2 linked regions of the Lytechinus pictus genome follow. Each later gene encodes a partner of the first gene's protein in a complex. Links are inferred from orthologs where the notes say so. Each region holds a gene or a part of one and is shown on either strand. Other genes may lie near its edges.

Region 1 (8,976 bases):
AAAGTGGCATAGCTCATTTTATATTCGCCTGTGAGATATGATTTCGGTGTCTAAAATATGGTTAGGGTCAGGATATATTAGGATAAGTTACAATGACAGTCAGTGGTCTAGAGTGTCAGAAATTCCAAGATGGCTTCCATAAATGGAGTAAAAAAATATATGATGTTACTTTATATAAAAGGACATAGTTTGTTCAATATCTGACTGGGGGAATATGAGTTTGGTGTCTAAACCATGGTTTAAAGGGTCAGGTAATACACTAGGGTAAGTTACAAGATCAGTTGTCTGTATGTTAAAAAATCCAAGGTGACTTCAAATATATGGGGTGTAAATTGACATTTGTTACTAAAAAGTATACATAGTTTATAAGAAATACACCTTGGAGGTATGATTTTGGTGTATACACTAGAGTTTAAAGGGTCAAGTTATATATTGGGTTAAGTTGAAAGGACATTCAGGTGTCAGGTATGTCCAAAAATCGAAGATGGCTTTAAAGATTGGGGTTTTAAATGACTGTTGTTTCTTGGGGATATTAATTTGGTGTCTACATTAGGGTTTCAAGGGTCAAAAATACTTTGGGACTGGATACAATGATATGCAGTTATCCATTTTGCCTTAAAATCCAAGTTGACTTAAAAAATGGGTTCCAAAGTGAGTGATGTTACTTAAAAATAGACATAGTTCAAACAATATCCACCTGTGAGAAATAATCTTGGTGCCTACACTTAGTTTTCATATTGTTTCATGAGTTGGTAACAGCACCCATTTTGATGTAATTTTATAATCCACCATGGATTTTTTTTTACAAAATGTAATACTAACCATCTTTTTTTAATTGTCCGAATGTATTATTTGACCCTGCATACACAATTTAGACACCAATTATTTCTTACAGATATATATTGTAGAACTCTGACCATTACTGAGTGATATGAGACGTTTTAGCTGCCTTTTTTGAAAACCCTGTTGGACTTTTAGGAAAACTGGACAACTGCATATCAATGTAACCGGTCCAAACGTAATATTTTAACCATGAAACCATAGTGTTGACACCGAAATCACATCTCCTTGTTGGATTTTAAATGAACTTAGTCCATTTTTAAAGTAACAGCAATCATTTCAGACTCCATTTTTCTTTAATCCATATTGGATTTTCGACATACTGGACCACTGACTATCCTTGTTACTAATTTTCTGACTTTTAAAACCATGGTATAGACATCAAAATGCCCTTCACGGATATTACATAATCTATGTCCATTTGTAAATACCAGGGGCTAATTTGTACTATTTTTTAAGCCAGCGTGGACTTTTGGACAAACTTGATCACCCATCGTCCTTGTAACTTATCCCAATGTATTATTTTACCCATTTAATCATGGTATAGGCACAAAAATCATATTCCCGGACATTGAACAAACTATGTTGTTGGGTTTTTGTAAGTAGGAACAACATTTTTCTACTCCATTTTTGGGAGCCATCTTGGATTTTTGAACATACCGAACCACTGACTGTCCTTGTAACTTGTCCCAATATATTATTTGACCATTGAAACCATGGACTAGACACCAAAATCATATCTCCCTGGTGGATATATGAGTTATGTCCATTTTATTGACAGCCATTTTAAACTCAATTTTTGGAAACCATCTTGGATTTTTGGACACACCAAACAACTGGCTGTCCTTTTAACTTGTCCCGATGTACTACTTCAACATTCAAACCATTGAATAGAAACCAAATTAAAGCCATCTAATTAAGTTATAGATGAATTGTGGATCTTTTAGCCTACGGCAGCCATTTTGGGCGCCATCTTGGATTTTCCTGGCGCGGTAATATTCACTCTGACCTGTATCAATAAATTCGTTTACCCACTCGACCATGGAGTATGAATCGAATTAGGACTTTCGGGTGGATAATGAGTGAGTTATATCAATTTTCAGTGAATGGCGGCCATCTTGGACGCCATCTTAAAAATAACTACTTTGCCGTATGCGGATTTTGGTAGATTTTTAGTATGTTATTCCTGAGGGCAAATACTGCCAGAAACAGTTGAAAAATAATTTGTAGCAATTTGTTCCGGGTCCAACCATATATTGACCCGTCTAGAATGGATGAAATCCTTGACTTGTCTAGGGGTATTTTGGAGGTTTGCCAAATAACATCTTAGGGATAGGGCGAGGACTTTCTAGGTTATGCAGGCTTATAACACTGGGCTTGAAACCCCCTTTTATTAAGTCCACCCCCCGAAAAATCAAACAAGCATAACACCGAAAAATTAATCGCTTAAGTAAAACTTTAAAATATCATAACTTTCATATTTTACTTCTGATTTTGATAAAATTTTCAGCATATATTGTGTGGTTTTTCTCGATTCAAATAATCTTTTCCATGAGGTGGACTCGCCCTTTAAGAGTGTATCTCTCTCTCTCTCCCTCCGTCACATCGATCGACCCTCTTCAATTATCCTCTCCCCAGTTTGTTCATATAGGCAGCGGGGGGGGGGGGGGTCCTGTCCCCCCTAAATTTTAGGTTGGGGGCCGGACAGACCCCCCAAAATTTATGTTGATAACCTTTCTTGTTCTTTTTGCTTGTCAATTTTGTTTCCTGCGTCCCCCCTAAATTCAGGTGAACCCCCCTAAAATTGTTGTGGTCCGCCCTAAAATTCTGGTTGATAACCTTTTTTTTTTGCTTGTCAGATTATTTCTTTTGTTTTAATTGCATCCCTCCCTAAATTTGGGTTGATAACCTTTTTTTTTTGCTTGTCAGATTATTTTTCTTGTGTCACCCCAATAAATTTTTGGTTGATAACCCCCCTTTTTTTTGCTCCACCGAGACATTTTTTTTCTTTGAAGACATTCATCATCTCAAAATAAGTTCTGTGAAATTTCTGAAGTCTGTAAATCCGTTTCTGTAGCCTAATGTCTTTTTTACGTACTTTTAAGAAAAAAAAAAGTTCTTGGGAAAAATAATTAGATCTATTGTTGACGAGAAATATCACAAATTCACATGCAACAAGTTGCATTCAGTTAGCTCCTAACGTATAGTCCTACCCGGCCGTACATGTACCTATTAGCTTGTAAATTTTATTGTCCTTTAATTCAAAGGAAATTAACACAAATAAAAGATAAAATAATTTTCAGAATACCTTGTAGATCTAGTCCTTGACCGAAAAATCAGTCTATTTCGGTCACTAGGATCTGTGCTTCGCAAAAAATCATTTTTTTCAACTCCTCCGAAACGGCAGATTTCCAGTCTTTACTTAACTTAAGTCAAGTTTCAGAATACAGGCTAACACGGTCAGTATATTTTCGTGTCTCGTGATATTCTTCTGTCCAAACATGACTGATAAACTCATAAAACTTGGTGACAGTTATGAATATTAATAAACTGAATATTTATTTGAATCATGGTTTAATTTCATCACGCTTCCAGAGAAATCACAACAATCGATAACCCCCGGGCGATATACCCCCCCCCCCTGGAGTTTTAAAGTTTTGGAAACTTGCTCTGGTAATTTAGAATTACCACACATGTATTTGAGCACATGGGACTACATAAAGTCTACAACTATTCAGTTCACCAGCTTGTCTTAGCTGTGAAAAGTAATCCCCTTTTCTCTGTTTCCACGGTCGTCCCGATTAGTGCAATCATACGCGGCACAGGATGGCATCTTTAACTTTGTATCAGGTATAAATTCACATTAAAAAGTGCTGTAATAAGAGTTGATCTGGTAAGTATAATTAAGAATTGACACTATTGCCGTGAACCAGACTCTACTTCGATTTTGACTTTTTTGGGGGAACTCGGCGTGTGGGGAGGTAACAACTTCCGGTGCTTCAACACGGAATAGGCCATCCAATCAGCGTTATTGTTCCCATCCAGATAAGGGAGAGATCAGTGAGTTAGCCCAGTAAGAGGACCAGTTCGAGGACAGTCAGACCAGTAGAAAATACCAGTAAAGACCAGCTTGAATTGGATATGAAGACCAGTGCATGAGACCAGTAACAACCACCAGAAACAAGACCAGTATAAAATTCCAATAATTTAAGACCAGTTTAATTTTTAACTGGACCAGTAAAATTTCAACTGGATCAGTATGACCAGTTAGACCAGTAAACCGATGTTCCAATTTCCAGAGTACCAGTTAAAAATTTTACTGGTCTAACTGGTCCAGTGTAACTGGTTTTTCCTTCTGGGAAGTTAGTTTTGTGATAATATCTGTGTGATTTTGTGTATATTGTGTCAAATACTGGGAGCTTATTGCAATAAAGTTTGAATATATTTATTGGATCGAGGATTGTACCATTTCATCTTATAAATAAACCCCCGCTTCAACGTCAAACGCGCTCTCAGACGTAAAAAAAATATGCTGCCACAAACAAATCTTATCTAGATCTATAAATAAACACATTTTTACAGCATGGATAAATCTCAACAAAGGATTTTTATCAATACCATGAAACTAAAAGAAATGTTATCAAAATTACTGTCAACAATTTGAAAAGCAATTTGTTTTTATGAAACCCGTCCCTAGTATATCTCTATGCCCTAGCCCTATATAGGGGAAGATCGGACACTTCGTCGATTTTTGTACGCTCCCAAACGCCCGAAAAATGCTCCTGGGGAAGTATCACTGATCTCTCCATTAAGTTAGTGGAGAGATCAGTGGAAGTATGAGAGTTGAGTAAGTAAATCTTCGCATATCAAATATATGGGGGGAAATGAGAGAAGAGAGTTTGGAGAGGGCTCAATGGTGGCGCATGGGAATATTTCCACTTTTATTACCAAGAAACCTCTAAAATATATTCATCTCAAATTTAAGGTGGAAAAATTGAAGGAAAAAAAATTAAAATGTAAAAATCGTCTATTCTATTCCTTCATTTCTCTCACATGTTTTGTACACAACCATCTCGCGATACTCAAATTAAAAAAAGGTCATTAAGGCACACACCACTAACTATTTCCCCATAGACTCATGTGCTATATAAAAAAGAGATTTGAAAAAAAAAATCGCCAAAAATAATTAAGTCTTAATAATGACAGCATCCACACCTTTATCATTTGGTAGTTCATCCAATATCCTATTCCTTCAAACGCTAAAGATATGAAAAGGTGTTTTGCAGCATTTTTTCGCGCTACAGGGGCTCAAACCAAGACTACATGCATGCAAGGTTGCAGTCACAGTGCTCACAGGGTTTCTTGGGCAACTATTCAAGTTCCCATAAAATCCAGCATTGACAAATTACTTCTCTCCCATGGCACTGAAAAGATCCAGTAGTAATCCCCAGGGGCCGTGGAACCGGGGGGGGGGGGGAAGGCTTCAGCCCCCCACTTTTTTCCAAAACCGTATATACACAAACGTAAAAATTACCACATGATTGTGATTTTTAGCATGGTCTGCTTTTGGCTCAGCCCCCCCCCCCACTTTGAAAACCGTTCCGCGGCCCCTGATCCCTCTCTGTAGTCTGTACCCATGTGCAAAAAATTGTTCAGATATGCACCGTTGATTTTATATGAATATTTTTCAACCATTACGTCATGGTACGGGTTAAAAGGGGGATTCCCGAAATTGCCGGATCCCATGCGCCCATTACTAACTCAACGCTGTTGGGCGCTCTTCCTGAGCGTTTCCTGAGCGTTTCATTGCGCTCTTTACTGTCGATGTACGTCCAATCTTCCACTTGTAGTCACCTGACCAACTGTACCTGTAGGCTGTACCATATACCAGTACGGTACCGGTACAGCAAGCAGTATTGCCTTGTCGGAGTCTTGGTCATGTAACGGAAAGTCCAGTAGGCATTCTGTAAAACTGCATATTTATTCATTGAAATCTGATTTTCTGACGAGTATTCACATCAGCATCTATTTCAAGGGAGTATAATTTGACAACAGTTTTATTGAAATAAAGTGCGGACAAATATCAAAATCATGGTAAGTAATTTGAGCTTTGTCTAACCCGGAGCTGAGCTGTGACCTGGGGCTGGACTCGTCCGTGTAAATGTCTGTAGTGTACTATTAAGTACTGGTCTAGGCTAGTGCCCGCAACAACAATTGTCCATGGTAATGGCTCATGTATGTTAATTTAAAGTCAAAAGGAAACGTAATGAGACGATTGCTCCGCAAAGTGCAACAATTGCTCCACTGAAAACGATTGCTCCGCCGACATTTACTCCGCATGCCGCATATGTGACCATTACTCTGCCAACATTTGCTCAGTGGACATTATTTTAATCCGTAAAATGTGAAAAATGCTTCACAGACGTGACCGATGAAATTTGGATCTGGAACATTTTTGCACACCCAAAATGATTTTCAGTGTAAATTTTAGGCATTCGGCAAACATCGGGAAGGAGACATCTGTTCTGAGGAATTTTTAGACTTTTATTATTTTTTGTATCTTAAGGATGGGTGTGTCCAGTAAAAACTAAAACCAATTTTACATCACAATTTTTACTTAGTCAGCCTAGCATTGATGACACATAGTCATAGACAAACTGTGTATAAACTAGAATACCTTCATTCATCTAGGCTTGAGCAGATGATAATCATGATTATTTCTCATCTGGATTAAAAGCTGGCACTTACTAAGATAATTTTGTTTTCTTATACATGAATATGTTTGGCAAAATATCTCATTTTCATCCAATCTTTTCTATTTTCAATATTTCACAGAGTGGACCAGGACCTCATAATCTTGATAAAGTACCCAACCAGGAGGGATACCTAATCCTCAATGATAGTGGAGCAGTCATGGCTGTAAGAACCAAGAACTTCTGTAGTCTTTTCCACTATTCCTCCTCCCATACTTTCTCTATAGTGCCTTGGGCCCATTTCTGTATCCCATCCTCTTTTACTTTGGGATCTTTTTTTTTTATGTGAATAGTAAAAAGAAGAAATGCTAGTTTTGTAATCGCAATGTTGAGGGAAGTTTGCAGATGAGATTTTATGGTTTGGTCACAATTACCTAAAAAGAACTGTTTGCGTGAATAATGCAATGCTGTACTCTCAATTTATTACATTGATATTTTAAAATTACTGTAAATTATGCAGGCAAAAATATTCAATGTATTTAGCTAAAACAGCAACAAGGGATACCATACAAATGTTCTCAAACCTTTCTGTGAGATCTTCCGAAGAAGGCAGACCATTCATAGACTGTTCGTATTAAAGTTTGCAGCTTGGTCAGTGGTCTTGTCCAAGATTTTTTTTAAACGTTAAAGTATACATCCAAAGAAAATTCACGAAAGTGATGATTATAGACAAATTATATATGAATGGAAAGGTCTTGTCTTTTTATACACAAATATGTCACTAAAAAGTCTTATTGATGTCGTGGAAATGCAAGAAATGAAATTATTAGAGACCCTTCTCAGCCCCCCAGACCGCGATCAAATACAGTCGAGAATAATGACGTCACATGATGATCGACTCACTCAGCCGCTCTCTAGCTCTGTGCAAGCCAGCAGTACAGTGATAGCTGATTCACCTTCCTGGTCTCTATTTTTCTTTGAATTTACCGTTTTCTTCATGTATTGTGATATCCGAATTCTGTTTTCGACAACTTCAGACTATAAGGGAACCAGAACTGTGTTATTTTGCCCGGTTTTTATTGAATTCTGAACTGGAAAGATCGATTTTGTCCACTCGACAGTCTTCGTTGTGTTGCTCTACTAACTATTGAAAAACTCCAAGCTGCACGGTCCCATTCACTTGCTCCCGATGCATGTTGCAGGTTACGCTGTTTGATCCAGTCAAAAGTCAAGGTAAGCATGTTTGGAAACTGTACTTGTTCTGACGATGCATTCAGGTCAGATGACAGATACAGATCTGATATAAGTTTAGAATCATGCATTTTGGCGTATACTATTAAAATTAAAAAGTCTTTATTTTAGAAATAATGTTTTTGCACAATTCCAGCAGATTTTTTCTTCAGATTTCTAAAACTGGTCAGGACTCAGGCAGGCGATTAAATTAATTCAAATTATTTAGGAGCACTGGTATGGACCATGGCTGAAAATCTGCTGTTTCAGAGGAATGTTTAAGTTTTTATTATACACAGAATTATATCACCATGATGCCGATGTCATGAAGCCAGACAAATTTTCAGCAGTGATTACCCACCCAAGGGTTCATTACATGCCGCCGCGCACAGAAAAATCAAGCCATAGAAGTCGTGTGTTGTGGACCCAAGAAGTGAGATCCCAGCACGAGCGACCCACTAGTTAGAAATCCACTGCCAAACGCGGTTCGTGGTGCGAGGTTAGTATACTAATACTAACCTCGCAATACGTGTGAGTGGTGATTACCCTGATTCCTGGCCCAAATCACTCACACGTATTGCGAGGTTAGTATTAGTATACTAACCTCGCACCACGAACCGCGTTTGGCAGTGGATTTCTAACTAGTGGGTCGCGCGTGCTGGGATCTCACTTCTTGGGTCCACAACACACGACTTCTATGGCTTGAATTTTCTGTGCGCGGCGGCATGTAATGAACCCTTGGGTGGGCCAAAATTAGAGTCTGGTGTTTCTTTCTGATTAGAGTGTTGCTGCATATATGCATGCGTAATGCCTTCAACAATGAAGATAAATGCAATCTTTGTAATGACACAGAGACTCAGAGAGCACCGTACCTCAAGTGATATTTGTGTAGTCTCCACTTCACTACTGCTACAGCCTACACTACGCTACACACCTACCCGGGTAGGTGTGGCGTACATGTACTGTAGTGTAGCGGTAGTGAAGTGGAGTGGGGCCTACACAAACATCACTTGCGGTAGAGCACCAGTGTTCTGAGTGGAACTTTTCAGGTGTCTTAACCTACTATCATTTGTTGTTGACCGGGAATTACATGCCACCGCACGTCATCGATCATCACGATAATTAAATTCATACTTTGATTTGATTATTTAAACTATTTCTTTTTTTCTCTCTTCTACACACAGATCTACACACTTGCTGACTCTGGTGACTT
Region 2 (8,481 bases), on another chromosome or scaffold:
CAGCACACTGTGGATCAGTTTCTTGCTGAAGGAAATTACGCCATGGCTGGGATTCGAACCCACGACCCTCTGTTTCAAAGTCCGAAGACTAATCCACTGGGCCACAACGCTCTACGTTGTGGAGCTCATCATCATCATCATCATCATCATCATCATCATCATCATCATCATCATCATCATCACATCATCATCATCACCAGCATCATCATCATCACCATTATCATCATCATCATCATCATCATCATCATCATCATCATCATCATCATCATCATCATCATCATCATCATCATCATCATCATCATCATCACCAACATCATCATCATCATCATCATCATCATCATCATCACCAGCATCATCATCATCACCATCATCACCATCATCACCATCATCACCATCATCATCATCATCATCATCATCATCATTATCCATCCTCCTCCTTCTCACCTTTAAATCAAGTGGGTCTCTGTGATAGAACGCTTCAACTGCCGGTGAGACCAAGCTTGGCTGCTGTTTCAGTATAGCGGCTAGCTTGGCTGGCATCAGGCAATGGGTATGATGAAAATTGGATTGCACTTTCGAAGGGAATCTGCAAATATCAATCCACACAAAGTTGATAGTTAAACACTGAGTGACTTCAAGATTGGTGTTGGTGTTAAAAATGTGACAGACTGCTGAACAGGGAAAGATATGGATGGCATTATCGATAGCTCATGATGTCACACCTCTGCCGATCATCTCAATAGCATGCGAGAAGTCTTGAAGATGATAGTAAGACCGGCATAAAATTTGGTAACCTCACATCACATACGGTGTTATGGCTGGTGTTGACATTTGTACGATACCATAAAAGGTTTCAACACTGTATTTGAAATCACCCTCTCTTGATTTCTAAAAAATTTTCATCAAACTGTCTTTAGAATGGTTGTTGAAAATGATGAAATTATTACGTACTTTTCAGAAGTATATTCACCAAATTGCATACATCCGACACCCGATCAAAATAAATCATCATGTAAAATTCATTTCATTACGCTTGATCCTTGACATAGTAACTGTTTTAGGGCATACACATCCATATTTTCTAGTAATAAATTAGAATAGTGATAGATGCATCATGGGGGTCTATCAAAGCTAAAATCAGGCTTTAACTAGCTGTTATATTTCATAAATGGAAAGCTATTTCAGTAAAGGGGACAAGAAGGGGGGGGGGGGTCAGGGAGGGTAGTAAAATATTGAAAAGCAGTGCTTACTCATCAATTCTTGCTCTGACTGCTTCTCTGATGGTCAACTTGGCAAGCGTTTTCTGAAAATGACTGCGGACTACGTCTATGGCATGTGATTTAGAAGGAATACCGGCTGGTAGGAAGGCTAGCTCTGCAGGGTTACTTGGCTTGGGAATGATGTGTAGATCCCCTCTGTATATAAAGACCTGAAAAGATTTAAAGTTTAGTATTAAGAAAATCATTTAATATTAAGAAAAAGTTGCAAAACTAAATACGTGATCCTCCACCTCAAAACTGAGAATAAGTTGCCAAGTAAGATTATCTTTAATAAGCCAAAATAGTAATTGGTCTTCGAAAAAAGTAAAATTTATAATCTTACCTGATAGAGTAATTCTTTTCCTTCATTACTGTCAAAATTTGAAGTTGCAAAGTTACCGGTATATAAAAATGAGATACAAAGAGTTTCTTTGACATCAATTTTTTTGCAGAACTGCTTGGAACATCCAACAAGATTACATAGAATGCATGCATGAGTGAACCCCGAACTTCAAACCCTGATTTCTCCTATGCCTTGAAGCTCTCACTGAAACTCTACTTCATTTGATCAAGTACTTGCGTAGTTTACTTTTAATCAATTTATTTTATCAATTAGCTTAAGATTTACTTTTTTCAATATTCAATTTCGAAATTCATTTTGGGTGACTTATTGCAGGGTGCTACATAACTTTTTAGAAGCACTTGCCCTGTCAGACAAGTAAATTATTCCAATAGTTGGAATATACTTGCCCCAAAATCTATTTCACTTGCCCGAAAAATCCTTTAAAAAGTTTTACCTCTTAAAAAGAAAATTTTGCGGTTTTATAAACCATTAAACTTTTTCTCTCTTTTGACATGAACTGATCTTCCGGCCATGACCACAATTAGGGTCAATATTATATCGACCCTAATTTTGATATTCTGCTGTGAGAATTTTGCTTGCCCAATTCGGGCAAGTAGTTTGGTCTTTACTTCAAAACACTTGCCCAACTCTAACTTTTACTTGCCCCGGGCAATCGGGCAAGTGCTTATGTAGCACCCTGCTTATTGTGTGTTCTGGGTGAGTTTCACAAATTACATAATCAACATTATTATTACACTGATTTCAACCAAAGGCTTGTTTGACAATGCTGTCTTCAAGTTACAAATGACTTGACACACAGATGGTTACAGGGAACCTTTTCTTGTGCTAACTAAAATACTTGAAACGTTCACTGGTTTTTCAACACAGACTGAGTTTTCAGGCAAATTTTTTTTTTGAGAATTTGGAATTGAGATGCCTGCCAATGGCAAGAATGTCAATCTACTTAGATCACATTTCAATTTCAGCTGAAGGGAATAAAAATAGTCAAACTACTGAATAAGCACCCAAGAAAGGATCACCAGTCGCACATGAAATCGTAACTTACAAACAGCTTTATGGAACAGTATCCTGTGACCTTTAGCAGTCATCGTCATCTCACACACTAAGGTGATATGCTCTACATCACATTTCACTTCTCTATTACAGATGTGTAAGTGACCTTTCCTCGCAAAACTTGAAAATTGAAGTGTCCAAAGTAAAACAGGTCCACTTAAGCAAGCACATCACCATATACTTACCCTGTTGATGCTAGTCTCCGGTTCCAGCCACTTTGGTAAATGATACGCAGCCTCAATCAGTAAGAATTCGCCATCATTATCATGAACACTGATAAAAAAGAGGTATAATTAGATTTCAAGAGTATAGTCAAATCATCAGAAGATATAAAGCCCAAAGTAACGTGATAAGTATTAAAAGATATAATTCCTAAGCTACTTGAAATAGAACAATTTAAGTATGCATTCTGGAATTAATATACTGTGTGATTTGTCTATTAAACCTTTGATTTATGAAGACCTTTGACTGTTTAAAACAATAGTACTAAAAGAATAGAATTTGACTAGCTACTTTACAAAACTTTTCCAAGATCTGTAGCGATGTGTCTTTATTCTATTAAAATGGTTTTGTACTCACTTGTACCTGCATTCTGAAGGATAACCATAAAGATATTAAACAAATTTGGGGACAATACTGACTACCATTATCATCATCAACTTCATCATCATCATCAACATCACAATTATCATCATCATCATCCTTTATCATCACCACCCTCACCTTCACCCTCACCACCATCATCATCAACATCACTACCACCATAAACATCATCATCATAATCATCACCACCATCATCATATTCATCCTTTATCATCACCATCCTAAACTTCACCCTCACCATCATCATCATTACCACCACTACCACCATCACCATCATCATCACTACCACTATCACTATCATCATCCTTACCTCCATCATTATCACCACCACCACCATCACCATCTACATCACCATTGTCTTCTTCATGATCATCACCATCACCATTACCATCATCATCATCATCCATCTTCATCACTATATTTCCATACCATTTCAAAAAAGATTGTGTACTAATGATCCTCCAAATATGGACAATATTAATTTTTAGTACAGTTCATAAGAAAGATTGTCATTTTTTTCTCTCACCTTATGACCAGCTCCGGCATGACAACTGTGAGCTGATATAGAAGGAAGACAATGAACCACTCATCATCAATATTATCACCAAAGTCTGTTGCACCATGAAGGTGTGGTGGAGAATCTGAAAAATTGCATTTATTAAAAAAAACATTTTCATAAATCGAAGTAAACTACAAAATTTAAAAAATATTCTACGTTAACCCTTTAAGTAAAACATGAAGAAGGAAAAAAAGTGGGCACATTAATGAAAAAGGGAAGAGTGGTAAGGGGTTTGAGAAAACAATAAAGGAAAGGTAAAAGTTGATAGAGATGATAGGTGGAAGAAAGAACACTAATAACATGAATAATGACTAAATAATTAACTGCAAAAAAAAAAGCGTCAATTCATAATTCATTGCCATAAATACTCTTAAATTTAGTGCTATTCACTTTAATATATCCTTAAACTATTCTGTTTATGAAGTGAATTGCCATGCAGCATTGCGAAAACTAAACCGAGCAATTCAGAAATCTAAAAGTATGGTCAGTTCCCCCATGTCTGCGCGGTCTCCCAAGTCTGCGCACCCGCGTATCTGCGCGATTCTAGTAAAAGAAGATACGCAACGAGCACGAACTTTACACATGCAATACATAGACAGGTATTCATAAAAAAATCAGACTCAAATAAAATTTAAGTCAAAATGGTGAAAAAATAATGAATTCAGGGCATTTCATGTGATGGCCTCAAAATACAGCCTTTCTCATCAAAATCTCTGAATCGTGTGCAAAGTGAATGAGTGCGCAGACATGGGGTACCATTTTTTTTTTCAATCTGAAAATGACTGCCCAAGGTTTTTTCAAGAAAATCCTATATTTTCTTTCATTTTTTCATGAGAAATTTGGTATACTTACTCTCAATAATATAAGGAACATTATTATCCAAAAGATTTTGTGAAATAAGAAGAAATTCATGTTAAATCTTAACTCAAATTGTTCGGTGCGCAGACTTAGGGCCCACCATCATAAAACAAGTTTTGTTTTGAGTTGAACACTGAAATAAAACAAGCAAGTTAATGGGTGGGACTAACCTGAAACTGAACTGACAGGAGTCAGTTTAAACGATCCACGCTGCCAAATGTAGTCCACTAGCAGTGGTGATAAGTGAACCATACATGTGTCCAAAAAGTCCTGCAAACATATCTCGATTTCTTTACAACTCTTTCCCTCAAAGTTGTTGTTTGTAAACAAATCGTATTCTACAACGTTTTGCACGTGATTTGTCCCTTCCATTTCGCAGTCAAAATATGAGAATGCGCTAAGATTCAACGCTTTAACTTGAATATATTCTTTCGTTGAATCCTGTGGTTGAAACGATGAAGCTATGTTAAAAGAAAGGAGCACAGTCTGTAAAATCACATGACCAGTTTCAGCTGCTACGATAGAGTATATTGTTGTGTGGTGTGTGTGTGCTGATTCTACTGCTAGTACTTTGACTGCCCAAACTGCACTTACAAGATTGGAATTGGAAAGGTCTTTAATTCCTTAGAATAATTTATCTCGTCACTCAAAATGCTTAAACCCAAGGCCCTCACACAAGTCCTAAGCCAGGCAAATACTGGAGGAGTTCAGAGTTCGCTGTAAGTATATATTTCATAATTTTTTTCATTTGATCATGTTTGCTGGTTTTATACAAAATCAGTCACAATCACAGTCACACTCACACACATCATCATTGATAAACCTTGTTCAATAATAGTAGTGGTGGCATCGTCAATATTGAAATCTAACTACGGTACTAGTAGTAATACCTACACTGAAAATCATTTGTCTTTGAAATTGACATGATACACCTTCGCAAGTCTTTTGTTTTGTAGTGGTCTCGACTCGTCTTATTTTGAAAATGTATTTACTCATGTCTATTTTTTTTTTAAGTCAGGGACAGTGAAGAAGAGGCAAGAGAGGTATGTTTTATAATGAAGTGAAATTCATGATCAAGCATGAACAGTACGATGTTGGTCCCCAAGTCTGCGCACCTAACGATTTGAGTAAAGAATTAACATGAATTTCTTTTTATTTTAGTTTACAAAATCTTTCAGTTGATATAATGTTCCTTGTCATCATTATGAGTTAGTGTGCCAAATATCTCATAAAAATTGAAAGAAATATATGATTTTTCTTGGAAAAAAGTTCGGGCAGTCATTTTCAGATTGAACAAAAAAATGATGCCCCATGTCTGCGCATCCATTCACTTTGCACCCGATTCAGGGACTTTGATGAGAAAGGCTGCATTTTGAGACCGTCACATGAAATGCCCAAAATTCATTATTTTTTCCAACATTTTGAGTCAGATATTTAAATGAATATCTTTCTATGTATTGCATGTGTATAGTTTGTGTTCATTGCGTATCTTCTTTTACTAAAATTGCTCAGATATGCGTATGACAATGGGGACTGCGCAGACATGGGGGAACTTGCCATGTAACAATAACATTGCATTTGTCCCAATATCAATGATAGGCTGGTATTCAGATAGACCCATATGTAGTAGATTTAATGATTTAGCCTACATTTAATTGCAAATTTGCAACTTAACTGTTATAATTGATTGTTACATACGTGTATGTAAGGAATGCCCAATGATTCATCATAAACCCTTATTGCATATTTTGAAATCATCCAAAATGTGAATGACTATGATTCTTATGAATCATGTGAGAAAAGCGGGACAGTTAACGAAAGCAATGACTACGATCAGCTACCGTATTTTGACAATAGTTATTTTTTGAGAAAATAAAACGTGAAATTCTCTTTGTAAGAATGTTGCATCAATAACAGTGTATTTTGATAAATAATCCGATAGACATGAGGAATAACCGTCGTTTCTGGGGATTTATTTAACAATTAAACTATTGCTGCACTTGTTTAGGGGGTCAATTCAGGAAATACTAGTCAAGGGTATCGTTTTTTTTCCAATACTTGTTAAGGGTAGGATTTCACCAGACAGGAATAACCGTCGTTTCTGGGGATTTATATTACAATTTCTGACATTTTACTATCATCCCCATGTACTGGTGAGTGGAGCCAACGCAGTTCAGCGGAGCAACCAAATATAGAGACCGAAGCTTTTGGTCTTGGGGTTCACATGCCAATATTTGTTAAGGGGTGTATTTTCAGAATATGGAAAATACTTATTTAGGGTGCTTTTTTAAACACCATGGTTGCGCCTGGTATCCACTCGTCAATGGAATTGCCCCCCTCCCCCCCCCCCCCCCCCCCCGCGTAAGACTGCAAGAATCTCTACAGATGAATGAGATTATAAATTTTCCCTCTTTTTTCTCCAGATTGCTCAACAATGAGGGCTCCCTTCTAGCCTATTCTGGTTACGGAGACAAAGATGCTCGGGTGACGGCAGCCATTGCTAGCAATATTTGGGCAGCGTATGAGAAGAATGGCAAGGTGGCTTTTACAGAGGATGACCTCAAACTAGTGCTCATGGACTGTGAGGTAAGTTGATTCTTTCGAAAGGGTCTGGATAATTTGTAAATAGTTCAGATAATGATAATAATATGCAAAATTTATAAAGCGCTTTATACGAAAGTTTCAAAGCACTAAGAAAGAAGGGGGAAAAAGAATACAAGATATCTCAGTTAAAGAACAACAAAGAACAATGATGGAACAGATGGTAATTTGTTTTCTTTAAAAATGGGTTAAAGGTCTAATATCTTGCCTCAGACAGCTGTCAAATTTAGAAACGATCCCGGTTCCACTGCCATTACAATGTGTAGACCACACCATGCTTGTACATACAAGCACATGAAAAGGATTATTTCTCTCTGCTGCTGATCTAAATGGATTAGGTGAAAATGGTATCAAAAATTGATGAATTCAGGAGAAGAAAATGGGTACACTTCTCCCCCTATAATTAGAATCAAATATTTGAGTAACCAAAAAAAAATTAGATTTAGATTAATTTATTAGTCCATATTAAAAACAGAAATTTGTCCTCCACTGGCAGTACATAAATACAGAATAGAAAGTATATAAGGGTGGGGAAATCATGACAAAATTCCTATGTTGGGTACTCCTAGATCCGAGGATAATCACTTGCTTTAGTGCTTCGGGACCATTTTAAAAGTTAATGTGAGAGTATGGTTTCAGTTTCATAATGAAAGTGCCCCCTTCCCCTCTCCCAGAAAATAACGTTCAGCCAATTTTCTATAAATGAATATGATCTCAAAGTAAGAGACATTTTTCAGAAAAAGACCTATGAATGGTTTGATCTAATATATTTATCACTTCCTCTCTTCTTTTTAGGGGTATTTATTAGGAATCACTTTCTAATTTAGCAAGTTAAAAAAAAAGAATTTTATTCAATTTTGATTTTTTTTTTGGAATTAGATATAATTTAGACAAATAACCAGAATTGAATCTGTGAGGAAATTATTGTATATGTATCTATTTCTGTTATATTTTCTCTCAGAATGGACGAGTTGCCATCGCTAAGGTTGCCAATTTGCTCCTATGCATCCATGCAGAATCATCGGTAGGCTTTGGAATGTTAAAGAAAAAGGTAAGGAATTTATTATTTTTATTCAATTCATGATGTTATCATTTGACTTTATATGTTTCATGATTGTCGTTAATGAGTAGTAATGAGCAGTTGAATTAATTTCCATATAAGGTGGAAAAGGTATTTCCTGCCT

The links.
Region 2: ragulator complex protein LAMTOR4 homolog (region 1) and ragulator complex protein LAMTOR2-like share a complex: the UniProt entries of both Drosophila melanogaster proteins name them as parts of the ragulator complex. The link is inferred for Lytechinus pictus from reciprocal best matches to the Drosophila melanogaster genes Lamtor4 and Lamtor2.

The regions. Positions count from the first base shown.
Region 1 is NC_087260.1:995,520-1,004,495, reverse strand, and holds the start of ragulator complex protein LAMTOR4 homolog, read left to right. Parts: upstream 1-5,568; 5' UTR 5,569-5,931; coding exon 5,932-5,934; intron 5,935-6,675; coding exon 6,676-6,759; intron 6,760-8,976. UniProt on the Drosophila melanogaster protein: Regulator of the TOR pathway, a signaling cascade that promotes cell growth in response to growth factors, energy levels, and amino acids. As part of the Ragulator complex, may activate the TOR signaling cascade in response to amino acids.
Region 2 is NC_087254.1:9,444,019-9,452,499, forward strand, and holds the start of ragulator complex protein LAMTOR2-like, read left to right. Parts: upstream 1-5,068; 5' UTR 5,069-5,347; coding exon 5,348-5,415; intron 5,416-7,119; coding exon 7,120-7,282; intron 7,283-8,258; coding exon 8,259-8,348; intron 8,349-8,481. Other genes in the region: protein ecdysoneless homolog, read right to left, coding at 112-586, 1,251-1,429, 2,862-2,949, 3,806-3,920, 4,867-5,068. UniProt on the Drosophila melanogaster protein: Regulator of the TOR pathway, a signaling cascade that promotes cell growth in response to growth factors, energy levels, and amino acids. As part of the Ragulator complex, may activate the TOR signaling cascade in response to amino acids.